3 linked regions of the Astyanax mexicanus genome follow. The protein of the gene in region 2 interacts with the protein of the main gene of each other region in a pairwise test. Links are inferred from orthologs where the notes say so. Each region holds a gene or a part of one and is shown on either strand. Other genes may lie near its edges. The genes, in order: ncdn, efhc2 and plod3.

Region 1 (8,419 bases), on a different chromosome or scaffold from region 2:
AAAGTGCTCCATGAAATGATAGATACCACAGGACACTGTTAGAGGTCTTGTGGAGTTCATGCCTCAAATGGTCAGTTCTATTGTGGTGGCCTAAGCAGGGTCTACTCAATATTAGACACAGGTTCTAATGCTGAGGCTGATATGTGTATGGATTGTGGTTACATGTTAAATAATTCAAGTAATTTCCATTTTTCTCTCACCTGCTGCAGGTAGTAAATAACAGCAGAGAAAGCCTCCTCCAGAACTCCAAGGACCTGCCTGCTCTGCTGCAGACTCAGCCCAGCAATGGCTGTCTCCGGCTGGGCAGGACTGGGATTAGACCCCTGAGTGCATGCTTGCTCCATGGCTGCCTCCATGATGCGGTAACAGGCAGTGAGTGTGTTCTGCTGCTGAGCAGAAAGCTGAGTACCTGGTGGCTCCTCCAGAAGCATCCTCACTTCCACACATGCCCGATTTACCAACAGACAGCAGAACTTTGGGGATCCAGTCGGCTCCCAGCCACACAAGTCCAGCAAACAAGCAGACAGCACCAGAACTGGCCCCAGATGATCTATGCTGAGTTTACCTTGGACCAGTGGACGTAATGATGCCCACAGACTGGACACTGAATCTTGGAGCTCCTTGGTCAGAGGCTCTGCTGTTGGAGGAGGGAGGAACTGTGGTACAGAAGAGCACAAGTCCAGGCGATCCTGGTTTGGAGCTTGGCTGAAGTTCTGGGAGATGGTAGCAAGAAGAGAAAGAAGTTCTGATTGGTGTTTGCTCCACACCCGCTCCCTAATATTGCTGGACAGAAGGTGAGCCAAAAGTGGAAGACCTTTCTCATGGCTGAGAGTCTGTTTTTTCAACACAGCCCTGCACAGAGCAGGTACAGCACCACGAGACAGCAGCTGATCAGGGCCACGTGGGAGAGAGCATACTGTGCTCAGAACCTGGTAGCAGTCAGCTGCCAATGCCTCATCCAGTTTAGAAGCAGGGGGCTGGACCCCATCTACACCTTCACCTAAGGAACTTTCTGGAACATCCTCTCCTGTGTTGTGCTCTGTGTCTGTGTCACATGATGTAGAGTTTCCATTTGGACATGATTCCTCAGAATTATTGGTTTGAGATGCAGAATTATGCTGTGTTTGCTTCTGACTGTCTGCTATTCCATTTTCCAGCAGGCCCAGGAGGAGAGGGATGGTGCTCAGCAGCTGAGGATGGGTGGCCATGTCCAGGTCTGTGCTGAGAGCAGCCAACAAGGCAGTGCCCAGAGAGAGGAGCTCCTCAGGGGGAAGTCCAGAGCCCTCACTCCCCCGGATGGCAGTCACCAGGAGGCGTGCAGGGAGGTTAAAACCCACTGCTTCGAAGACACGATGCAGGGTCTCCCTGTCAAGCTGATTGGCTGGACACAATCGAGTAATCTAAAGAGAAGATGTATTTAAATTACAATTACATGGATTAAAAACAATAAAAATTCCTAAGGGGACACAAGACATTTCTTTAAGAGTTAACTATGATTTATTGTTAATAATAAAGTTATTAATGAGTGGCTTGTTAGAGAATCATATAATACTCACTTTACATTACTTTAAAAAAATTGCCTATTCATAAACGTCCAGTTATATACTGTAATAGGCCTTAAGAAAGGTAAGACTTTATCAGATGCTTCAAAGTTGATAATTGTCATGTTGGGAAATAGAACTAACAGGAAACTAACTAATACTGACAATACAGGTTTTTACCAAGAAAATATATGAGATACGTTAATTAATAAATTGTTAATAGACAGTACCCAAGCCAGTACTAATAATGACATCATAAGTTAGCAGAGCATTGATTAACTAAAACTTAGCACAAAATGATGTTCATAGTTCATTGTTAATGCACAGACTTAATGCACAGACTAAAATTAGTAATAAAATGTAAACACTGTCTCAGAGCAGATCTTTTAAAATAACATTTTTGTTCACACTACACAGCTGACAGAATGACTTTACCAGAAGAAGAGCTGCCAAGATGTGGCTGTCGTTTTTGGCGTGAGTGAGCGCGTGCAGACAGCGCTCCAGCACATCCTGCTGAGCTGCAGACAGGCCTTTAGTTTCAGGTTCAGGAGCAGTAGAAGAACCATCTGCTTTGCATTGCTCCTCACTATTTGAATGATGTTGGGAGGATACCTCCTCCTGGCTGATGGGACTTTCACTTTCAGACATCCTTAGTGTTGGTCAACATACCTGTAAATATATCAGGATGTGATGAGTGAGACCATATATTGGGACACTACAGAAAGCAGAAAGGCGATAGCCTAGGCAAATCTAGAATTCTCACATTTTTGGCTCCAAAAATTAAGACATGCCATGTACAATAGGAAAATATGGGAAAACTATGATGTTTCTAGGCTGACAAAGACAGGACCGGTCAAAAATTTGGACACACCTTCTCGATTAAAGTTTTTTTTTTTTTTAATTTAATGCATTTTCTACATTTTAGATTAATATTAAAGACATGAAAACAATTCAGGGACGTAGTAAATTGTAAAAAAAAATGTAAAGGAAAGCAGCAAATATTGTTCATCATCTCCAGAAACTCCTTCAAGACGCTGAGAAAACTATTCCAGGTGACTCTCCCTCATGAAGACACTGAGATTAAAATACCAAGTGTGCGCAGATCTCTCCTAAAAGATAAATGTGCTACTTAGAAAAATCTATAGTATAGATTTCTGGTTTGTTTAACACTTACACTTGTGTAGATTTCACGTCTATAATGCAAATTGTAGCAACAATGTAAACAAAAAACATGAAAAGAGAGGAAACACATTGAATAAAAAGAGGTGTGTCCAAACCTTTTACAGGTACTGTATATTGGTAAAATAAACTCACGACCACATTAAAACCTACTAACGTTAGTTATTTGCCTAGACACGAGAAGCAAACAATTAAACATATGGAAGCAGAAATACTGGAGATACTGTTGAATATGCACACAAACAGAAAGCACAGAGGGCCCTCCTTATACCACCAATTAGTACTAAACCTAGTTACTAAACCAAGACCATTCATTTACACTTTCTCCACATTAACTTCCTGACATAACCACTTTACCAAGTGAAGTAACCCAGCTAATCCAGGTTAGCTAAATAAGATCAGCTAGTTAAACTGCGCTCTCACTCGATCTTCCTGCTCACAGCGCGTATCAGTAAACAGCGCCGCTGTACCGAGATAACTGATTAAATGAGTAAAAGAGAAGATTAGAACCTGCCGGACCGAGAAATTCCAAAACATCAAACCATCAAAACACGAGGAGAACGTGTCAAATCACTTACGTTATCCATGCGACCGAACACCGACTTCCGCCAAAATACATATTAAAAGTCACTTAAATTTCAAAATAAATCTTAAGCTAAATTTGTCCTCGTTTCTGATACATTTTCAACGGATGCACTGAAATGATTTGTTTTGAATTAAACCGAACAAAATTAAATATTTTCCTTAAAAATATATAATATGTGTTTTATCTTCTTATTATTTAACCAATTCTTACATTTAATAGCCATTATTATTATTATTATTATTATTATTATTATTATTATTATTATTATTATTATTATTATTATTATATAAACTAATTCTTAAATTTAATAGCCACAATTTATTATTTCTTTTCACGTATTATTATTATTATTATTATTATTATTATTATTATTATTATTATTATTATTATTATTATTATTATTTTTTTTTTTTTTAATTATTTATGTATTTGTTTTTTAACAATTGTTAAATGTATTAGCCAAACGCATTCCATAAAAACGAGTATTTTAATCTTTGATTTAAAAATATAAGTCAGGGCTTTTTTAACGTTTTCATTCAGTTACTTCTGTTTAAGAGCGGCATATAGGCAGGACTAACTACAATAGTGTGTGTTCAAACTGTTAATGTAGTATTTTGTAAAATACTTATACACATTCAGCTTCACCGCTGTACAGAAATTTAAATCGTGCTACGTTTAACCGGTAGCACCGCAGTTTCCGCCTTCTTTTGACAGATCTGTTAAGGTGATTGGCTGCAGTAAAAAAATGATGGACAGCTTGGTCTGTCTCAGGATTGGATTAATAAAAAGTGATTGAGAACGAAAGTGTAGTATCTGATTGGCTGCAGTCGAAAATGATTGACACATGCTCCGCCCTTTAGCCACGCCCACTGGGGCTCCGGTCTGCAGCATTACCCTTCTCGAGGAACTGGAGAGAGAAAGGAACAGGAAGCAGGAAGTGACGGAGATCAGCGGCTGGAGCTGCTGCTGTTTGAACGGAGAGAAGAAGGAGCTGCTTCAGTTTATCAGAGTAATCCGCTGATTTACCGGCAGGAGTTCAGAGTGAGTGAAGGTCTGTGTTCTGGAGAGACTCTGAGGTTTTATACAGAGAATAATGTGGAGTATTTTTTATAGCTTTCATTCATTTAGTGTGTAGATTCAGCTAGTTCTCACCCTCTTTACCAGAGAGTAACTGACCCTAACCATAGCTTAGCTAAGATAACCAGCTGCTGGTAACTGTTACTAAACTGCCTCTGTTTATAGATTTAACTATTTTTTCTCCTTAAGTCTTCAGCTACTCTACACTATACAGTCGTGCTTGGTTTGCCACTGTAACTGCATAACTTTGGACGATATACTGTCCCCAAATTAATTGCAATAAACGATATTATTGTAGGGGTCGTATTCTAATGAATTTGTTAGGCAGAGATCTGAGTGTATTTGAGTATCTATCATTTTGTCAGCTGCTAAAAACACACTGACCAACTGCATTTAATTACAGAAAGTGCAGTTAGTAATGTTTTTTATTAGGATATGTGGCACATTTTAAATATAGATGTCTGTTTCTAAATAACTGTAGCATTTTAATAGTTTTTGTAATATAATAATGTAATATAAATGTAAAATAATGGTATTATAAATAATGGTTTTATTTAGAATGCTAATACATTGTGTGTGTGTGTGTGTTAGAGAGAGAGAGAGAGAGAGAGAGAGAGAGAGAGAGAGAGAGAGAAAATATGATGTGTATTGTGTATTGTAAACAATACAATGTTTTGTGTTATTGTGCTGTGTTGTGTAACTGCTACTGGCTGCTAAATTTCCTTCAAAATCAATAAAGTGTCTGTCTGTAGGTCTGTCTGTCTACTTGTCTATATGTCTGTCTTTTCTTAATTTGTTCTGCTCTTCTTGCTAAAAAAAAGTTTGTTATTCTAATTATCGTGACAGGTCTATGTCTTGTTCTCTCCTTGCAGATGGCAACTTCTCTGCCACAAAAGGGTCCCGGCCCAGGAATGGGTGTTTTGCCCCCTCAACAACAACAGCAGCAGCAGCAGCAGCAGCAGCAGCAGCAGCCCCCTCATCTTACCCCAGGCTCAGGCCCTGGACAGCCCCCCATTGGCCCAAACCAGGGAGGACTCAGGGAGATATCCCCCGTCTTCCTCTGTCGGATCGGTCAGGAGACAGTTCAGGACATAGTTACTCGCACTATGGAGATCTTCCAGATTACACGAGCCACCCAGGTGTGTTAACAGCTTCTCCAACACAAATTACCAGGACATTCATGCCATAAACTTCTTTTATTAAACTTCTTTTTGTTAAAACCACCTCCTTGTTTCTGCACTCATTGTGCATTAGATCAGCTATGCTGATTACATAGGAGCATGTTCTATGTCTGTAATTTTAGACACTGTATTTATTACACTAAGTGCTTTATCATTATATGTTTTTTTAATGAAAAGGACTTCACAGGACCACTACTGATTATTCTCAGCATTGCAGTGACACTGATTGACATGGTGGTGATGGTGTAAGTGTGTGTTGTGCTGGATCGTTGGACCAGATAGACAGATCATCACCTGCTGCAGCACAGTTTCTGTTAGTCATCCTCTAGTCCTGGTTGGCTGGATATTTATGGTTGGTGGACTATTTTCAGTCAAGCAGTGACTGTGAGGTGTTTAAAAACTCCAGCAGCACTGCTATGTCTGATCCACACATACCAGCACAACACACACTAACACCTCATACACCACCACCACATGTCTGTGTCACTGCAGTGCTGAGAATGACCTTCAACCCAAGTTATACCTGCATTATGTTGGTCCTGTGGGGTCCTGACCGCTGAGAAATAGAGTGAAAGTAGGATAAAGTATGCATAGGAAAATGGCTACAGGTACAATTTTAAGAACTATAAGTTATATTATAATTCAGCAAGAAAAAAAAGATCTGAGAAAAATATAGATTTGTATTATATTGCGTTTTATAGTATATCAATTTGCCATGTGTGTTTAATATAAAAAAAATATATATTAATAAAAAATTTTAATAGCCTAATAGAGGTATTGGACTTGTTCACATTTAAGCTGTGTTGTATTTCGTAAGTATGCTCTATAAGTACTTGATGTTGGTCTGTGTTTGCTGTAGTTGCCGAATGGTGTGACTCAGAGTCAGGCAGTGTATCAGGACCGCTTTGGCAAACTGCAAGAGCACCTGCGTCAACTGACCCTGCTCTTCCGCAAACTCCGCCTGCTTTACGAGCGCTGCGTAGAGATGACCTCTGACCTTCAGGAGTCTCCTACTGAGGTGAGACTGGTTTTCAAGTTGATTGTCTGATGGGTTTTAGAAAGTAAATGAATAAAGTAATAGCTAAAATAATAAAATATAAAGCAAATGTATTCATATGTTGTAGCACATAAAGCATTGCTGTGAGGTTTTGATTGCATTCATTGAAAAGAGTGTTAGTGAGGTCAGGAGTTATACGATTTCCGTCCCACCTCACCTCCAACTCTCCAGGTCATCTCAAAAGTAATGGATGGAGCACCATCATTCTGTTTGGTATCTTTGTAGAGCTGTTTTTTCGTGACCAAATTCATTGTGTGCTATATAAATAGGTTTGAAAATTAGTTTAAATAAATTTTAAATGCATAATTCTTACAGTTCACTTGGGCTGAGGGATTGAGCACACGCTCTGAATTCCACCAAACCTTTACCGCTGGCACAGTGTGGTTTGGCAGGTTGTTTTCTCCTGGTACAAATTTAACCCAGATTCAAAACTTGGCATTGCACATACTGGCCTTAAGCATATGTGCACCTACTTGGCCATAAAACATACACATTTTCTGAAGCTCTTTTAGTAAAGTTCATGTGCTGGTATTTCTGCTTGGGACTGTTTGGGACTCAATATAGCAACAATATAGCATGTACTGACTGTTGGGGCAGTTATAGCTGGGCAAAAGTTTCACAAACTTACTGGTGGCAAAGGTGGCATTGTATGGCAGTGTTACTCAGCTCTTCAGTGTGACCCATTGTTTGGTGCATTTGCTTTGAAAGTAATGTTTGTCATATCATGGAACTTTGTTTCTGTGTCTATGTGTAGCTGGTGCCGTACGCTGGAGAGGAGGTGGTTCCAGTGAAAGTAGAGCCCTGCAGTTCTGCAGTCAGTCAGGACCGACAAGAGGTTTTAGAGGTTTGTTCCACTTACTATTGTTTTAGTTATTAATGTTTTTAAAGAATGAGTACAGTGTAGTTAGTAATGCCAGCCTACTGGACAAAGTGTGCAGCACAGGACATGCTAACTGCTTAAGTCAGTGTTTAATCAAAGAATTTAATAGTAAAAAAAAAATTCAATATTTTATTGAGGCTAATATTTAATATATGCAGCATGTATGGCACATAGAGAAAACTCTGTTTTGAAAAGTAATGCTTCAGCTTCGTTATTCATGACTCTAAGGCTACACTACAACACAGTTTTGATCTCCTGCTATGAATTTTAAACACTTAAACTCATTTGGGGTGGTGTACAGAGGGAAAATACAACAATTATAACAGTCTAAATACTTGTGACCTTGACTATGAATGATGCTTTAATTTTTAATTTATCTACAATTCTAAAATATTTTATGTTGTGCCGATGTTCTTTTTCTCATTCTCAAAATTTTAGAAGTAGTTGAAGGTTTCCATTAGTAAATTGCCATTGCTATGCCACTGGCTTTGTAAAAAATATATAAATAATTTGATCTTTATTGCCCTTACTATTAATGAACTTATACATTTGCAACTTTTCCTCTACAAAATGTACTTTTATATATTGTAATAATACACAAATAAACCTTAAATCACGTTTTTTCAACTTAAGATTATATATATATCTTCTGTGTGACCTTCACAGAAAGTGAGGCAGAAGAATCAGGAGATGAAGGTGCTGATGGATCAGATGAGGAACCTTCTTTGGGACATCAACGCCATGCTCACCATGCGCAAATGACCAGAACACCATTCATTTGTCTTCCTTCCATCCAGTATGTTTAGATATAGTCTTCTTTCCCACAAATCTCCGAGGTCCAATCTCCTTCCTCTTGGTCAGGTGCTCTCGCAGGGCAGCTGAGGACAGCAGACTTCCTCCAGATGACTGGTACTGTTA
Region 2 (8,427 bases):
AATGATGTTCTGCAATAATTCAAGCGATGCAGCTCAAATTACCACTCAGATTGTGGGTCAGGGTGGATTACAGGTCAACAGGCCAACAGCCCAACAACAAATACTAAGATCCTGCAACCAATTGCCCAACATTGTTGCTGAGTCAAGAGCTTGCAATTTGACATGCTATCACTCTACTCCTGCAGCAATATCTCCACAAATATTTGAGCTGCAAGGAATGGATTATCGACGGACACCATTAGGAACCTCTACATGTTGCGTTACACATGCCTTACACATGCATTACACAGCACTTTTGTATGATTAGCTCAAAAGCTCAATATTGTCCATATTAGTCTAAATGTGTAATAATTTATTGTTCCTAGTAACCTTTAAGAGTGTATATGATGAAAAACTAAAAAAAAAAAAACTAAACAAGTTTGTTTTTATAATGGATTAAAACTGAAAAGCTACTAGGAAAGAGAGCAAGAAGAGTGCTTTAGTGGGAAAATAGAAGTCAGGCGCTCTTTCAGCCTCGTCACTCCAGATAAATCTGTGGCATAGGTGATGGAGAAGCTTATTCAAGCAGAAGAAATGAAAGAAGGCTTTTCAGCATTTCATGGTGGCAAGAGAATCCTTTTCTTGTGCTCCAGGAAGAACAGATATTAATATATATCCTATACCTTTCAATGTGTATAATCATTTTGACACTATAAAAATCAATATTTACTGTAGCAGAACAAGAATCACAGCTTTATACACACCTTAGGAATTTTACTCCTGTTCAAAAATTTAGGGGCGGTGTCCCGCCCACTGTTTGGATACAGAACCTCTCGGATTTCTATGGTATCATCAGCCAAAAAGTAATGCAGGATCAGCTCTCTGGGGTCACCAAACATGCTCTCGGTATCATTCCAGTAGCAGTAAAATCGCAGGACATTATGATCGTGCTCCAGGAACTGCTTTAAAGTATCTTGCCTCTCATATGGGCGCCGTGGCTTCATGCTGTCCTCCAGCTGCGTAGGTAAAACACAGGGTTTAGAAGGCTATGCGCTAGTGCGCGATTATGATTTATGCTGGGATCTGTTTTACAGACACAAGCCACTCACTGGCTTACCTCCTGACGAAGTGTTGTGTAAGGATCTGCTGGTGCTGTAGCAGAGGAATTAATGCGTACCCCCATCTTCCTCAGAAAGTTACGTGTGAAAGGGTCACAGTCTGTAATCATGTAGGTTCTGGAGTAGAACTCAATCTCCTGGTTGATATTAAAGTGCTGTATATTGTAAAACTGGTCATCATTAGGAGCCGGGAGAGGAATGCGATGGCGGCAAATCAATGTTCCTAGAAAGAGATAAAAAACAAAGAGAGTGTCATACCTTATTAATTTGTCATGTTAGACATGTTATGCTACTTAGGAGATCTTGAAAGCTTTACCGTGTTGCATGCCACTGTTTTTTATTATTGGCTCCACAACCTGTATGGTGTCGTTTTCCAAGTAGTAGTAAATTTTGCACTTTCTGACTCTGTATGTTTCCTCTCTGCTCTGAGTAATAGGTTCTTGGAAATATGCATCAAAGCAAAGCACCTGCAATAGAAATAACAAATGCCAGTGTCCGCACAGTACATTTAGCTTGCTTGGTAATAAAAATTTGAGTTTTTCTTTTATCACAAACCTGCTTGTCGAAGGCTAACCATGAAGGACCACTGCCTTGTTCTTTTGGAAACAATGAGTACTGAGGTTTTGCCGTCTGGCCGAGCAGCGGTTCTCCTCCAATGCCAGGCTTTTTTGCGCCCACCATTAATGGTATTCCTTTTGAGTATTCAAAATGTTGAGACTTGTGAAACTTTTCTTTTCCCAGCTATAAAATAAAAAAGAACAGGTTAGGCTCTTGGGTCTGTCTGAAGAGTTATGTAATATGTAATATTCATATTTATGCAAAAATTCTGCTAATACGTATATATTTGTGTGAAATCTGTAATTCCATTACTTTTGGAGAACAGTTATCTTCTAACTTACTTACTTCACAGTAGTATGAGGTTACGGTGGCCGAGAAAGCCCAACGCAGTGCAAATTGAAAAGCGCTGCAAAAGCACAAAACACATCCATCAAAATTACAACACAGGCGCAGCAACTAGAAAAACGCGCTGCAACTAGAAAAACGCGCTGCAACTAGAAAAACGCGCTGCAACTAGAAAAACGCGCTGCAAATAGGACCACAACACAACGGAAGTGAGTCACAACACAACGGAATTTTCCCGGGGGACCTTAAAAGATGCTGTACCAGCTAAGCTGCGTCTTCAGTAACGTCTCGGACTTCACTGTGTGTACAAAGGACAATAAGTGGCAAACAAGGCGTTTTGTGAAGCAGAACTTTTAATAATATGCACACAACCGTGGTAATCACAGGTAATAAACATAACTTACTTTTCAGAAGCTTGTTTGCCACTTATTGTCCATTGTATACAGCTGGTACAGCATCTTTTAAGGTCCCCCGGGAAAATTCCGTTGTGTTGTGACTCACTTCCGTTGTGTTGTGGTTCTATTTGCAGCGCGTTTTTCTATTTGCAGCGCGTTTTTCTATTTGCTGCGCCTGTGTTGCAATTTTGATGGATGTGTTTTGTGCTTTTGCAGCGCTTTTCAATTTGCACTGCGCTGGGCTTTCTCGGCCAGGTGCTTACAGTACTCTAAGGAAACTAAAAGACAGGGCTAAATAGACAAAAAAAAAAAAAAAGTTTTCACAAAAAAAAGTCTCACATGGCATTCATTCATACTAGAGACCACAACTAGACTGTTTAAAATGAATTAAAAAGGGATGGAACGAGACCTTTAAGGTGGTTCCAAACTTTAGACTGGTAAGTTACTGTAGCTATGAGAAAGCCTTTAAGTGTCATTTTGAACGTTTGTATTTTTATTATATTTTAAAATTGGAGTGGAACTGCTTTTTAAAAAGTGGAAAGCCAATAGTAATTTGAATTTAAACAAGAAAATAGTCAGAGAAGTATAGATTTTAGCAACTTAGCTAGTTAATGTTACATCCCACAGCCGTTGAGATAACTAAAGCTAGCTAATGCTAACTTTAATTGTTCAGAAATCATTCCAAACAGTAAACTTCAAATTAGCTAGCTAGCTAGCTAGCTATTTAACGTTAACTTGTTAGTTAACGTTAACTAGCTTAACTAACTACTAACTAACTAATTAACAGACTGAATAAACAAGAATTAACTCTAGCTAATAAAGCTAGTTAAATACATAATTACAGTAATATTTTCTTACGTTTCTGTTGAGGGAATTCCCGGGGAGCAGAGGTAAAGGCATGTTTATACACTAAATAGATAGAAAATACTAATAAAACTAATAAAAGTCCTGAACAGTCCCTCATCCAGCGGCTGAGACCCGCGAGCTCCGGCTCACTGTTTGAAGCTTGAGTTGCTAGGCAACAGCAGGTCACGTGAGGAGCGGATCCGTCTTCCTGAAGTGTCACATACTAAACCAGTGGCTCTTAAAAACATAAAATATCGTCGAAAAGTTACTTTGTTTCAGTAATTCAGTTCAAAATGTGAAATCCATATATTATATAGATGTATTACACACAGAGTGATCTATTTTAAGCGTTTATTAATTTTATTGTTATGACTATGATCAATGTCTCAGAAAATTAGAATATTATATAGGACCAGTTGATACTTTTGACAGTGTGGACAGTGTGCCAAGTCCTGCTGGAAAATGAAATTCGCATCTCCATAAAAGTTGTCGGTAGCAGAGGGAAGCAGGAAGTGCTGTAATATTTTCTGGGAAAACAAAACTGCACTGACTTCAGACTTGATATAACACAGTGGATCAAAGCCAGCAGATGACATGTCTCTCCAAACCACCTCAAGCAGATGGAACTGTGTGTCTCTCTGCTCTTCCTCCAGACTCTGGTCCTTGATTTCCAAATAAAATGCAAAATTTACTGATGATCAGTAACAGTATGGTGACTTTAATATTTGAACATGTTCTATTCACATCAATAGGCTACTTCTAGTAAGGTGAACATAATAGCCAATATTGAGGCCAATAAAAATAGAGGTTATGATCATATATTGTACAATAAAATAATTATTGTGACAAGCTTAGTAATTAGACGTTGCAGTATTAGAGGCTGTCAATTCTTACACACTTGTAGAAGAAGAGGGTTAAAGTAACCCTTTTGCAAATCTATCCCCAGATCTCTCATTCAAGGCAAGTTCACATTTGCTGAGAAAATGAAGTTATAAAATGTAGCTGTTTCTCTGTAGACCACAGATACTTCCCACACTTCTGCTGAAAACAGTCCAGATTGTGCTGCTCATACTGAACTCAACAGCAAGTCGTTATCTTTGTTATGACTGCATGACTGCATTAACATTCCATAAATGTCTAAGGGTCCCTCACACTATTGACGGGTTCTGTCGTTTTCTTTGGAAACTTTAAATAAGAAAACTTGTGAATCCAACACGAGATGGATAAATAATGCCTCTTTTATTAGGAGATCATCTTTTATGTTAACATATATAAGTTTCAAGTGTCCAGTAAAGTAGTTGGCACAGTACAGTACATAAATAAAACACATCAAACATAATTAAAACTACAAGAAACCATCTGTGTAACAACAAATGAAAAAGGCATACAAATAAAATAAAATTAAGCACTGTGAAAAAGGCAAATTATAACTGAAAACATAATTACTATACACAGCTTAATACAGAACTATTTTTTTAACATATGCTCACGTAACTAATAAAGTACAGGCATTAAGTTTTCCAGCTAACAACAACACTGACCAATATATATAAAATAAACATGTTGTAGCATTCCAGTAATGAACTTAAAGTAGTGTTAATAATATACTTCATGATATATTTAAATTTCTTTCCTCATTGTACAGACAGAGAGAGAGAGAGACCCAGGTCCAGGCACTGCCACAACCCTCTAGTGCAAACTTTGTCTTAAAACCATCTGTTTTTTTTTTTTTTTTTTTAGTGTTGTGCCCCTGTGATACAGCAATTGAACATAAACACTGAGGACAATGCCTCAGGATTGGCAGAGTTCATTTATGCAGCAGACTCATCCAGAATTTAGGATGCCAGACCCAGCAGAAATCCTCCAACGAATCCACTTGAAACAACAATGTTTCTCTTGACAAATTCTGTGGACTGTAAAGAAAGTCAAGATTTCAGAAAAACAAACATATTGTACAAAATTATAAAGCAGTTAGTGTTTTTAGACATGGCTTATTTCTATTTCAAATACAAGCTTTTAAAATGTAAAAACAAAAAAAAACTAAAATATTATCTGCAGCTTTTTATTATTATCTGAGCATCCACAATACATAAATGCATTTTAACAACACTGCATCAATATTAAACCACATATAAGATAAGCTACTCTATGTGTTTGTAGGTTTGTAGACACATGCTGATCAAGTGTTCAGTCTAAAAAATAAAGGTTATTCATTGAGAGTTAATAGGCTACAGCCTATTCCGGGAAGGCTTGGGAACCTTTCTGTAAGAATTTGATTTCATCCATCCAAAATAATATTAGTGAGGACAGATAATGATGATGTTATATGATTATTTCCAGATTACAAACACTGCTCCAAGTCATCCCAAAGGTCTATTACAGTACTCAATCACATCACAGTCCAATCACTCCACACACTTTTCTAATATTAGGCTCATATGTGGCTGTTCCAACAAAATCTGGAAGCTTTTTTTTTTTATACAGATGTCTGCAAACTTTTGGACCTACACCAACTGTACACCTGGATCCTACATAAAACAGTGGAAAATGTACCTCGTCGATAAAGGAATTTAACTCAGGAGCAGCTTTGTTGGCCTTTTTCTTCAGGTGCTTTTTCGCTTTATTAACATCTTTCTTTACTTTCTTCCAGTCGACCTCCACATAGCCGCTGTGATTGGCAATCTAAAAAAAAGGATTCACAATAAGATTCTGATGCAAACAAAGACAAATATTTCTATAATTAGCTCTGCATTGTTTAAAAATGTGCCATTGTCTTTACTTGCAACAATAAGAATCCTCCACCAACTGCAGTTGCAGCAATTTTCCCAACCTTCTGAAAGAGATATCCAGCACACCTAAAACAGACACAAAAACATACACAGACTTAAGAGATGTTATTTTAGCAATTTGACTGTTACAATAATTACATTCCACCGTTACTGTACAATATATGAACATAATCTTAATAATTTCTGCACATTATGTTTTATCTAGTGGGGTCTGCCCATTTACATGCATGAGACAGTGTGTTGCTCTTGGCTTTTTCTTTCATTTATTTAGGAAATTATTATTTTTTTAGATTTTAATTTCAATGTTAGTATATTTCTTAATAATTAAAAGTGTAATTGCTATAGTATGCTAATATATTAACATCATATGAGTGGCATAATAGTTGGCAATTTCCTAGACAGACATTAAGTTTAGTTTTGGACTTAGTATTCCTTCTAGGCTTAATCAAAGTTCAGGAAAACTATCCCAATTATTTCTGGGACAATTTATCCAAAAACAAAAATATATCATGTAAAGTTTAACTTGCAGTTATGCTCATACACTCAATTAATTTTTGTGTACATACAGTATATTAAACTGTGACAGGACAATGTATCTGCTGCTTAAGGACTTCTTCACAAGAAGGCAAACCAAAAAGAGAGACAGTCTCTTCTATTGTTCTATTTAAAGCATGCCTGCAGAAAACCACAATATAAATCAAATGATTTGAGGTTGTATCTGAAACTACACAAACTTCCATCCAGCTATCTATACTCACCAGCCTGTCATGCCCCCCATCATGAGCTGCGTCGCCACAGAGTACTTTTCAGCAATAGGTCCTGTATTGCTCCCAAAGACTCGACTCCACCACTGATGCCGTCTGGCATAGTCTGTGATATCCACCACCTCGTACAATTCATCCTCACTCTCTGCCTCTATTTATGGATGAAACAGGACAGTTTTAGAAAGACTTTGAATAACATAGGGGAGAATAAACAATGCAAGATAACATTTTACATGATCCAATTCAATATGTGCAAAATGGAGAAAAAACTGATTTAAATCAAGCACTCAAAAACATTAAGTAAAGAAGAAATAGAAAAAAATTCAACAAAAAAATTCAAACAAAACGACACTGTTGGGTAAAATATGTGTACCACTATTTTCCTTATGCATAAATAAACAGCTATTTTAACTGGACCACGCTAGAGACTGACCTTCTGATGTTTTTGAAGTGAACCTTGTTTTGAAAATATTATACAGAAATAGGAACGACTTCTAGGAACAAAAATCTATTTTAGGTTATTTTGGAAATACAGGTCCAGAAATTCGGTGTGAAGCGAACTTGGAGTGTAGTTAAACATGATACAGAGTACAAACTTTTCTTATCCATGCAAAGAAACCACTATTTTTACACCATAAACAAGCTCAAAGTTGCTCCATACTTCATTGGTAGAATTCTGAGGGTCCTGACATTTAAAATGAGACACTGAAAGCTTTAAAAGTGCACAGGCAGTTTATTAAAAACACTATTTATAGACACAGTACTATGAGGTAGGTCTCCAGTTCTCACAGGGTTTCTCCTTTAAATGTTATCAATATATTATTTTTTACCATAGCATGTGATTACATACACAAAGAGACGTGGTTATGTCAATAATCAATTTTATCGTACTTTTTTTTTATATTTCCCATTTCTCCTAATTTTTCCACCCTTTTAGCTGCTACTCGGCTGTATATCCCCCATCACTAGTGATGCCACAACAGGAGGGTGAGCAAGGCCAATTTTACTCTCTCAGGGCTCTGGCAGCTGATGACAAGCTGCATGACAGGGATTCAAACAAGCGATCTCCCAATAATAGTGGCAGCACTTTAGACTGATGGAACACTCTGTGCCTTGTATTGACCGAAATTAAAAAATATATTTTAAAATAAATTGGGCATATAATCCAGACCAACTCACAGTCAGTGTTTAAGATGAAAGCATATTGTTTTATTAGAATTTGCATTGAGAAAATGGTTAAAAATAAAATATTCGAAATAACATTTAAAAAAGAAAATACATGCACAGAAATAAGGACAAGTTTCTTTTGTGGGATTTTTTGTGAATTCAGGCCCGGACAGTTAAGAGTGACAGTAAAGACAAGCACTAACTTTTTTCACAACGAGCAAATAAAGAACTACACATTTTCTGATTTTCTGATTATGAACATTTAAGCAAAAATAAGCACAGTTACAAATTTAAGCTAGGTTAACTGTGAACTGTCTGCAGGTCATGCTGAATGCTGACCAGGTGATAATAACAGACGCAGGTTAGCGTGTGTTCTTACACTCCTACCGCTGCTTTTAAAACTAAAAAATAATTAAAATTAAGCTCATAAAGAGGCCATGTCCTGACTGAGATCTTCCACTGCAGT
Region 3 (8,371 bases), on a different chromosome or scaffold from region 2:
GTAGTCATACAAGTGGTGTCCGTCTACATGACCAGCATTCACTAAAGATTATGCATCCTGCTACAACATAAGCAAGAGTCTTCAGAGGCTTAGGTAGGTTGTTTTTTGGATCAAGTGAACAATGGTTTTGATTGTTTGCAGTGTAAAAACACTTTTCTAGATGTTTCAGACATTTGACCAATTGCAGGAAGCTGAAGCAGGCTGCTGTTACCCATTCAATAACTGTAGAAGAAATCAGAACTCTAATCTATTACACTCTGGCAGTCAAATTCTGGCATGGAGGCAAGATTTGGCACAACATACAGATAGACACCTTGCTGAATTGACAACATTCTACAAAACAATTAAAATCAAGTATAGGAAGATGAAGCCCACGCAGCTGATGACAAAACATTGTAGCAAAGTTCTTAAGTCCACTCACTAAACTGCAGTGTAAAACCAAAACTAAAACCAAACATATCCAGTGTACCAAAAATGTGAACCTGCAGACTCTGCTCTTGATTTGTAGGTGTGAAAAAACTCTAAAAAGCACTGCAAGAGAAAGCTGAGGCTTTTTTTTTTTTTCAAAAAGTAAAGTAAAAAGCTAAAAAAATGCCCACACCCACCCCATTCTTAGAGAGGTCTGATAAGATCATTTCTGCTTTGTTTAGTATGGAAACCAAGCTGAATAATTCCAACACCCAAGTGTGTATTACACAAAAAGATTCAATGTAACAAAATATGTCCCAGAGTCTGTAACATTTTCGCCATCAATGTAATGTAACCTTCATCCCCATCACAATTAGAGATGAAGATGTTTTTTTTGGGTTGATACCAAATGCCCCCTTTCAGCTGAATCATCCGATTCCTAAAACCATTCAAGGGTGGGGCTGGAATCAACCACATTTAAAACACTGTGGAACTCTCGAGCACCAGTGGCAACAATCTGTGAATTCCCTGACTATTTATCCAGCACTTTAAACAACTGTTTGGACAAGGTTCTTCAGCTTTACAACTGTTATGTTAAACTTTTGTTGTTGTCAAAATATTATATGTACTGCATGATGTTTTGTGCTAATAATGCTCACTGGACTGAGTTATGCACTCTTGAGAGGGCCTTCCAGTTAACAGTGTTAAAAGTTTTTAGTCTGCTTCCCCCATGAGACCCTCTGGCATTACACCTTCTACAAATACATGACTAAGACAGAAACAGCAAAAACAAAAAAACAAACGCAAGATTGACAAAGTGGAGCTACAGTGGAGCTACTAATTAACTACTGTTTATAAAAGTTCTACAGACCTTCTTTAATAAACATTTCTTTATGTTTTTGTTAACTACAAAACATTTAATTAAAGAGTAGTTTATTCTCAGTTTGTTTCCTGACATGTTCACTAGTATTTTGACTGTTAACAATTAGATGATTTCCGTAACCTTTTTACAGTAGGGTGTAAAGATTGGGGAACCCCTGGTCAAAATACCAGATAAACACCAAAATACCCCACTTATACACACAACACTCACCTGTCAACGAAAAGGATGATGGTGTTTTGTTTGTCTTTGTGTTTCTGCATCTCTTTCTTCAGCCACCGAACCTTCTGTCCTCCACCCACAGTTTTAGCAACATCACCTCCTCTCCACTCCTCCCCCAGTCCCAGAACCTGGACACACACACACACACACTGTTTACACAGCCCCCTCCTCACTCCTCCCCCAATTCCAATAAATACAGTTCTGTGCAAAAATACTCAACCCCCTTAAAAGTCTTCAGATTCGTCTGAATCATGACTTACTCTAAGGAGTTCCAGACAGTGTTTTTTTTTTACAGAATCTTGTTATCTTAAACTCTTAATTCATTATTCATCAGCACTTTCCTAAAAACTAAGACTAAAACAGTTTGTGTGCAATAGTACCCCTTAAGGGCTTGGAAGAAGCACCTCTTGCTACAATGGCAGCAGTAATGCTCCCACCCCCATGTTTCACAACTGGGATGGTATTTGCTGAGGAATGTTAGTTTAGGGTAGTGTTAGGTGAGTGTTAGTGTGCTCTTCCTTGAGGCATCTTGTTAAAACTAGATAGAAAGACAGATAGATGAAGGATGGAACTGAACCAGTTACTTTCTAGTCCCAAGCCCACTTCTCTAAACTTGTGTGTGTGTGTGTGTGTGTGTGCGTGTGTGTGAGAGAGTGTGTAATATAAAGTCATTCTGATTTTGTAATGCACAAACTGGTTCTCAGCTGTTTTCAAGACTGGAAGTGAAAGTTAATGACTCAGAAAGAACGGATGGATGGATGGATGGGTCATCTAGCTGAGTCTAGCACAAAACTTGTATGTGTATAAACTGGTGGAGCTTTTGGTGCAGGGGTTGAATACTTTTGCACAGCAGAGCGACGATGAATGTATTGATGGTGGGGAACCTTCACAGTGTAGTTGAATTCTCTGGCTGTTCGCATAAACCGGTGAAAGCCATCCGTCTCTTCTGTAGCGGCAGTTATCACCAGCAACTCATCTGGAAGGGTGAAAGTGTGTGAGCATGAGAGAGAGAGAGAGTTAGTGAGGGTCTCTGATTCAGTAGTAAGGGCTGAAGTATTCAATTGAAATGGAAAAATAAACAGAACCCAGGGTCTAGGTAGGACTGCAAACCCCCACTCTTTACACACTCCCACACTGTAAAGAAAACAAAGGGGTTCTTATATGGTTCCATATATAGAACCAGGAGAACTTAAGGAACCATTTGGGTCCTAAACTTGTTCTTTGCCTAATGAAAAGTGTTTCACTGTTGGGAATAAACCCTTATTGCTTGATGGTCTGTGCTCACACAGATTGATTTGGTTTAACTTAGTGTAAAATTAGATTCAGTGCCTTATTAAACAAATTAAAGTCTCTAATATGAAACAAGTACACATACACAAGCTCTATTACATTTTCTAACTATAATCAGTATCAAAAACTAAGTTTATTTGCCAGCTTTTCGCACATTTAACTCTTTTTTTCTCGAACTTTCCATTCCACCTTAAATGGTGCAGCAGTTAGCCTCAGGCGGCAGATTCTAACCGCTGCACAATTTAAGGTGGAACGGACAACTGAAAAACTTACTTCATTAAAAGTTAGAAATAAACAGATAATTCGAGTGTCAGTAAGACCACCATTGCCCACCAGTACCACACACCCTTACCACCGCCCTATACCCCAGTATAAACCCAGTATGTTAGTTTAGTTCGCTGGTTGTTTACCTGTTTCCCCCGCGCCCCTCGGCACCAGCGCGCACACCACGGACAGCCACAGCGGCACGAGCCACATCCTGACCTCCACACCCAAAAGCCTACAGCCCCGAAACTACCGTCACCAGCCCGCAGAGACACACACCGAGCACACCGGCACAGGCGCGCGCGCGACTCCGCTGCTCCGCTTAAAGCTCCGCGAATATCTGCGGGAGAGGAATGCAGCCTGCAACACTCCCCACTTCCGCCTCCTCAGCCAATCACAGAGCGGGACCCGCAAACCGGGAGACCGAGGGATTCATCCCGACCAACCAGCGGCGGACAAATGGGATTCGTAGCTTTTCGGAGTAAAAACCCCGCCCCTTCCAGAGCCGAGGAATGTTCCGGAATACAGCGGTGCCACGTTTCAGCAGACTCACGTTCCGCTGATGCGTTACTGTGTTACAGTCTGACTGTGTTACTGTACTATCAGTGATAGTACAGTAACACAGTCAGACTGTAACACAGTGATAGTCTATCACTGAGTTACATTCTGACTGTGTTACTCTACTATCACTGTGTTCCTGTACTGTTACAGTCTGACTGTGTTCCTGTAATATTACTGTGATATAGTCTGACTCTATTACTGTACTTTCACTGTGTTATAGTTTGACTGTGTTACTGTACTATTACTGTGTTTCAGTCCGACTGTTACTGTACTATTGCTGTGTTACAGTCTGATTGTGTTACTGTACTATTGCTGTGTTCCTGTATTGTTACAGTCTGACTGTGTTACTTTAAACTTACAGTGTTACAGTGTCTGACTGTGTTCCTGTAATATTACTGTTACAGTTTTACTGTGTTACTGTACTATTACTGTGTTACAACCTGGCTGTGTTCCTGTACTATCACTGTGTTACTGTAGTATTACTGACTGTTCCATTAACACATCACAGTGCAGTAACATAATACTGTACTGACTGTTAAAGAATTTTTTGCATAGTCTGACTATGTTACTGTATTATTACTGCACAGTCTGCTTTTCTATATTTTTACTCCAGTTTGAGTGTTTTACTGTATTATTTATGTTAGGCTGACTGTGTTACTATACTTTACAGTATTATCACTGTGCAGTCTGTGCAATATTACCACATACATTTCAACTTTTAGTATAATATTACAAATTGTTACTTTTAGTGCACCAATGATGTTATTAAAATACTGTACTATTACACAATTTGGATGTATATTGTAATAATGTACTGTACTGTACTACTGCACAGTCTAATTGACCTGCTGTATTCTGTTTTACTGTAATATAGTATAACTGCACAGTCTATTTATTTTACAGGATTATTACACAATCTAATGATGTTATTGTATGTTAAATATTGTTATTGTGTTACAGTATCACTGTAGAGTCTGGCTGTGTTTAATAGATTGATATATATTCTGATTGTTACTGTATTACTACACAGTCTGACTGTGTATCTGGATCATTACACAGTCTGACTGTCTTACTGTATAACTACATAGTCTGACAGTGTTAATATATTACTGTGCATTATTAAAAAATAATCTCACAAGGCTCCACACTTTGCTGGCAATTTTTCCACAGCATAATTTTTAGTTTAGCAGATGCAGTTAAATACTCCTGACAGTAGGGGATGCTAAAGCACTTCTTGCTGGTCATTATGAGAAAGGTATGGAGGCCTGGGTACCTGAATCAATACCCTCTCTCTCTCTCTTTGGTTCTGTACTCTGCTCAGGTTCATCTGTTTGTTTGACTGAGTAAATATGGTCAACAACACACACACACACACAGAGCTCAAAGTACAGATACCAGTGTACCCACCACAAGGTACACACACTACCCTGTGATCTGTTCTACTGGAGTGGTAAGTTATGTGTTCTAAATTATACCAGTATTTGGATAAAACGTTGTTTTCCCACTATTGCTGTCTGAATGTCCAGTCTCTGACCGTGTTCTGTTTGCGTCCGATCTCAGAAGGTGTTCTGGTGTTCTCTTTGGGTCCAATCAAAGGAGGACCCAGACCAGATCTTTACAGAAAATCACAGATTCAGTCCGGTTTCATGACTTTGTGTGACGATCCAAGACACAACATGTTAGATTCACAGTGTGATCAAATGAAAAAAATCAGTGATTGAAGCTGCTACTGTCCTAAATATGTATATAACTCTGTGTGTGTTTAGATTGCATCATGAGGGACGCTACGGAAGCCAGCAGTTCCAACAGCAACGAATACCATGACGAGTTCGACAACACAGACACCAAAGCCATCTGGAATAAAAGTGTGTATGTGTGTGCAATGTTGATTGTGTTGGTGTTGATATGTGTAGTGTTGGTATTGATAGTGTTGGTGCTGTTGGTGTTGATGATATGTGCAGTGTTGGTATTGATAGGGTTGGTGCTGTTGGTGTTGATGATATGTGCAGTGTTGGTATTGATAGGGTTGGTGCTGTTGGTGTTGATGATATGTGCAGTGTTGGTATTGATGTGGGTTGGTAGTATTGGTGTTGATATGTGCGGTGTTGGTGTCAATGGACTAGTGTTGATATGTGCAGTGTTGGTATTGATTGGGTTGATAGTATTGGTGTGATATGTGCGGTGTTGGTGTTGATGGGGTTAGTGTTGATATGTGCAGTGTTGGTATTGATGGGGTTGGTGCTGTTGGTGTTGATGATATGTGCAGTATTGGTATTGATAGGGTTGGTGCTGTTGATGTTAGTGTTTCTGCTGGTTATGTGTGCAGTGTTTATAGTGGTGGTTGTGCGTGCAGTGTTGACAGTGGTGGTGTTGCTGGTGGAGTTGATGGTTGTTGAGTTTTGATATATGTGTTGATGGTGTTTGCAGTGTTGGAGGTGATAATGACAATGTAGGTTAGTGTTAGTGTTGGCGCTGGTGCTGATGATGTTGGGTGTTAGTATTGATGGTGTTTGCAGTGTTATGGTGGTGTTGGAGTGTGCAGTGTTGATAATGTTTGTGTTGGTGATGCTGATGACAGTGTTGGTGGTGTTGCTGTTAATGATGTTGGGTGTTTGTGTTGGTGGTGTTGCTGTTAATGATGTTGGGTGTTGTGTGTGCAGTGTTGATAGTCTTGTGTGTGCAGTGTTAGTGGTGTTTGTGTTGGTGGTGCTGATGACAGTGTTGGTGGTGTTGCTGTTAATGATGCTGGGTGTTGTGTGTGCAGTGTTATTAATCTTGTGTGTGGGGTGCCGAGTGGTCCAGTGGTCTAAGGCGCTGCCACTATGAGCAGGAGGTCGCAGGTTCGAACCCCCGCTCATGCAGCTTTGCCATGGTGCTCTCTCCCCACATCACTCCTAGGGTAATGTCTGCAGCACAGGGCGTCTGTGAGCTGATGTACCGGAGCCGAGCCGCTGTGCTTTCCTCCAAGCGCGCTGCAATGCTGCATCAGCAGCAGCTCGAAAAGGAGCGGTGGCTGACTTCACATGTATCGGAGGAAGCATGTGTTAGTCTTCACCCTCCTGGTGTGTTGTGGCATTACTAGTGATAGGGGGAGTCCTAATGAGTGGGTTGGGTAATTGGCCGTGTAAATTTGGGAGAAAAATGGGAAAAATTAGAAATAAAATTATATTATTAATCTTGTGTGTGCAGTGTTAATGGTGTTTGTGTTGGTGGTGCTGATGATAATGTGTGTGCAGTTGATAGTTTTGGTAGTGTTGGTGTTGGTGGCATCTGCAGTGTTGATGGTGTTTGTGGTGGTGGTGCTGGTGATAGAGTTGTGTGTTCAGTGTTTAGTTGTGATGATAGTGTTGTGTATGCAGTGTTGGTGTTTTGGTTGGTGGTCTGCAGTGTTGATATGACAGTGTTGTTTTGTCATTGGCAGGGATGATAGTGTTTGTTTTATTTCTGGTGTTAATACTGTTAAGGAAGATTATTGTGAATCATATCTATTTTCTGTACTGTATCTATGTGTTTATTTGTTTATCTGTGTGTGTTTGTGTGTGTGTGTGTGTTTGACAGACACTGTCTCCAGGTTCACTGCAGTTCCCCCTGCTGGTCAGTTTCGATGGTATTTGTGTTTGTTTGGTGTTTCAGTCTTTATTTCTTTGAGCCTTATCATCGCCATCTCTGTGACCAGTGAGTAGCACACACACACACACACACACACACACACACACACACACACACTCTCTCTTTCTCTTTCTTTCTCACACTTCTGTCTGTTGTGTATGTGTGTGTTTATGTATTTGTAGAAGTAAATCTGGACGGGAAGTTGTCAGCTGTTGAAAAAGAAATCAGCAACTTGACCCAAACTTTGATGTCAATCACTGCCAGAATGAATCGCCTAGACCAGCATGGTAAGCACACACACACACACACACACACACACAAACACACACACACACACACATACACACACACACACACACACACACACACACACACACACACACACACACACACACACACACACACACACACAAACACAAATACAGTGACCTCAAAAAGCAAGATGAAGATAAAATGATCTCCAAAAGACTCCACAAGTTAAAGATGGCACATTACCATTGTATTTTAAGCAAAACTCTTTTTTACCTGTACATTTTCCAAATAACAAAAAAGGAAAAGTCCCAGAAGCAAACAATTTGGATAACTTCTATGATACTTATTAGCACCCCTTGTAAAAGTTGTTCATGATACCCAAATTAGGGGATTGTGAGGGACAAAACCTCTAGATCAGGGGTGTCAAACTCATTTTCACAGAAGGCCACATTGGCATAATGTGGCTTTGTAATCAAATGTAATCAAATGTAGTATAAAATGATTGTAACTACTTTTTAATGATAAATAACTCAGAATGTATTACTTATTTAACAAAAACATTACAGTTGCATGGAAAAAAATATGTTTGCTTGTTGCTCTGTTATAACATAAATCCTTTTAATTTGTCATGTTATGAAATCCACAAACTCCATCAATCAAGGATCAAACTATTCAAGTTAATAGAAATTAATAATTGACACACTGAAAAGAGGCTTAATTAGTATGAAATCAAAAATTGTGACAGCTGTAGCATTTCACAGATTTTTTACTGCAACAGCCTTGCATCTAAGCTGTAACTGTGGGTAATGCAATCGACATGCATTGTGGGAAATGTAATTTTTAAAGACTAAGATCTTTCAAGCTCTCGCGGGCCACATAAAAGGA

What was found.
Region 1: the proteins of efhc2 (region 2) and ncdn interact in binary tests that used the Homo sapiens proteins (3 or more experiments, as listed by UniProt). The two-hybrid records come from large-scale screens. The link is inferred for Astyanax mexicanus from reciprocal best matches to the Homo sapiens genes EFHC2 and NCDN.
Region 3: the proteins of efhc2 (region 2) and plod3 interact in binary tests that used the Homo sapiens proteins (3 or more experiments, as listed by UniProt). The link is inferred for Astyanax mexicanus from reciprocal best matches to the Homo sapiens genes EFHC2 and PLOD3.

The regions. Positions count from the first base shown.
Region 1 is NC_064410.1:53,436,546-53,444,964, reverse strand, and holds the start of ncdn (neurochondrin), read right to left. Parts: upstream 3,428-8,419; 5' UTR 3,299-3,427; intron 3,293-3,298; exon of another isoform or gene 3,231-3,292; intron 2,211-3,230; 5' UTR 2,190-2,210; coding exon 1,977-2,189; intron 1,401-1,976; coding exon 201-1,400; intron 1-200. Other genes in the region: zgc:114119 (mediator of RNA polymerase II transcription subunit 30-like), read left to right, coding at 5,256-5,522, 6,424-6,582, 7,376-7,465, 8,168-8,263. UniProt on the Homo sapiens protein: Probably involved in signal transduction in the nervous system, via increasing cell surface localization of GRM5/mGluR5 and positively regulating its signaling. Required for the spatial learning process.
Region 2 is NC_064418.1:5,481,381-5,489,807, reverse strand, and holds the start of efhc2 (EF-hand domain-containing family member C2), read right to left. Parts: upstream 3,409-8,427; 5' UTR 3,296-3,408; coding exon 3,254-3,295; intron 2,209-3,253; exon of another isoform or gene 2,001-2,208; intron 1,839-2,000; coding exon 1,653-1,838; intron 1,565-1,652; coding exon 1,414-1,564; intron 1,321-1,413; coding exon 1,097-1,320; intron 996-1,096; coding exon 744-995; intron 1-743. Other genes in the region: fundc1 (FUN14 domain-containing protein 1), read right to left, coding at 5,077-5,154, 5,795-5,923, 6,021-6,096, 6,789-6,945. UniProt on the Homo sapiens protein: Microtubule inner protein (MIP) part of the dynein-decorated doublet microtubules (DMTs) in cilia axoneme, which is required for motile cilia beating.
Region 3 is NC_064420.1:26,582,418-26,590,788, forward strand, and holds the start of plod3 (multifunctional procollagen lysine hydroxylase and glycosyltransferase LH3), read right to left. Parts: upstream 3,432-8,371; 5' UTR 3,278-3,431; coding exon 3,211-3,277; intron 2,487-3,210; coding exon 2,395-2,486; intron 1,639-2,394; coding exon 1,502-1,638; intron 1-1,501. Other genes in the region: asgrl2 (C-type lectin domain family 10 member A), read left to right, coding at 5,400-5,490, 7,184-7,300, 7,417-7,521. UniProt on the Homo sapiens protein: Multifunctional enzyme that catalyzes a series of essential post-translational modifications on Lys residues in procollagen. Plays a redundant role in catalyzing the formation of hydroxylysine residues in -Xaa-Lys-Gly- sequences in collagens.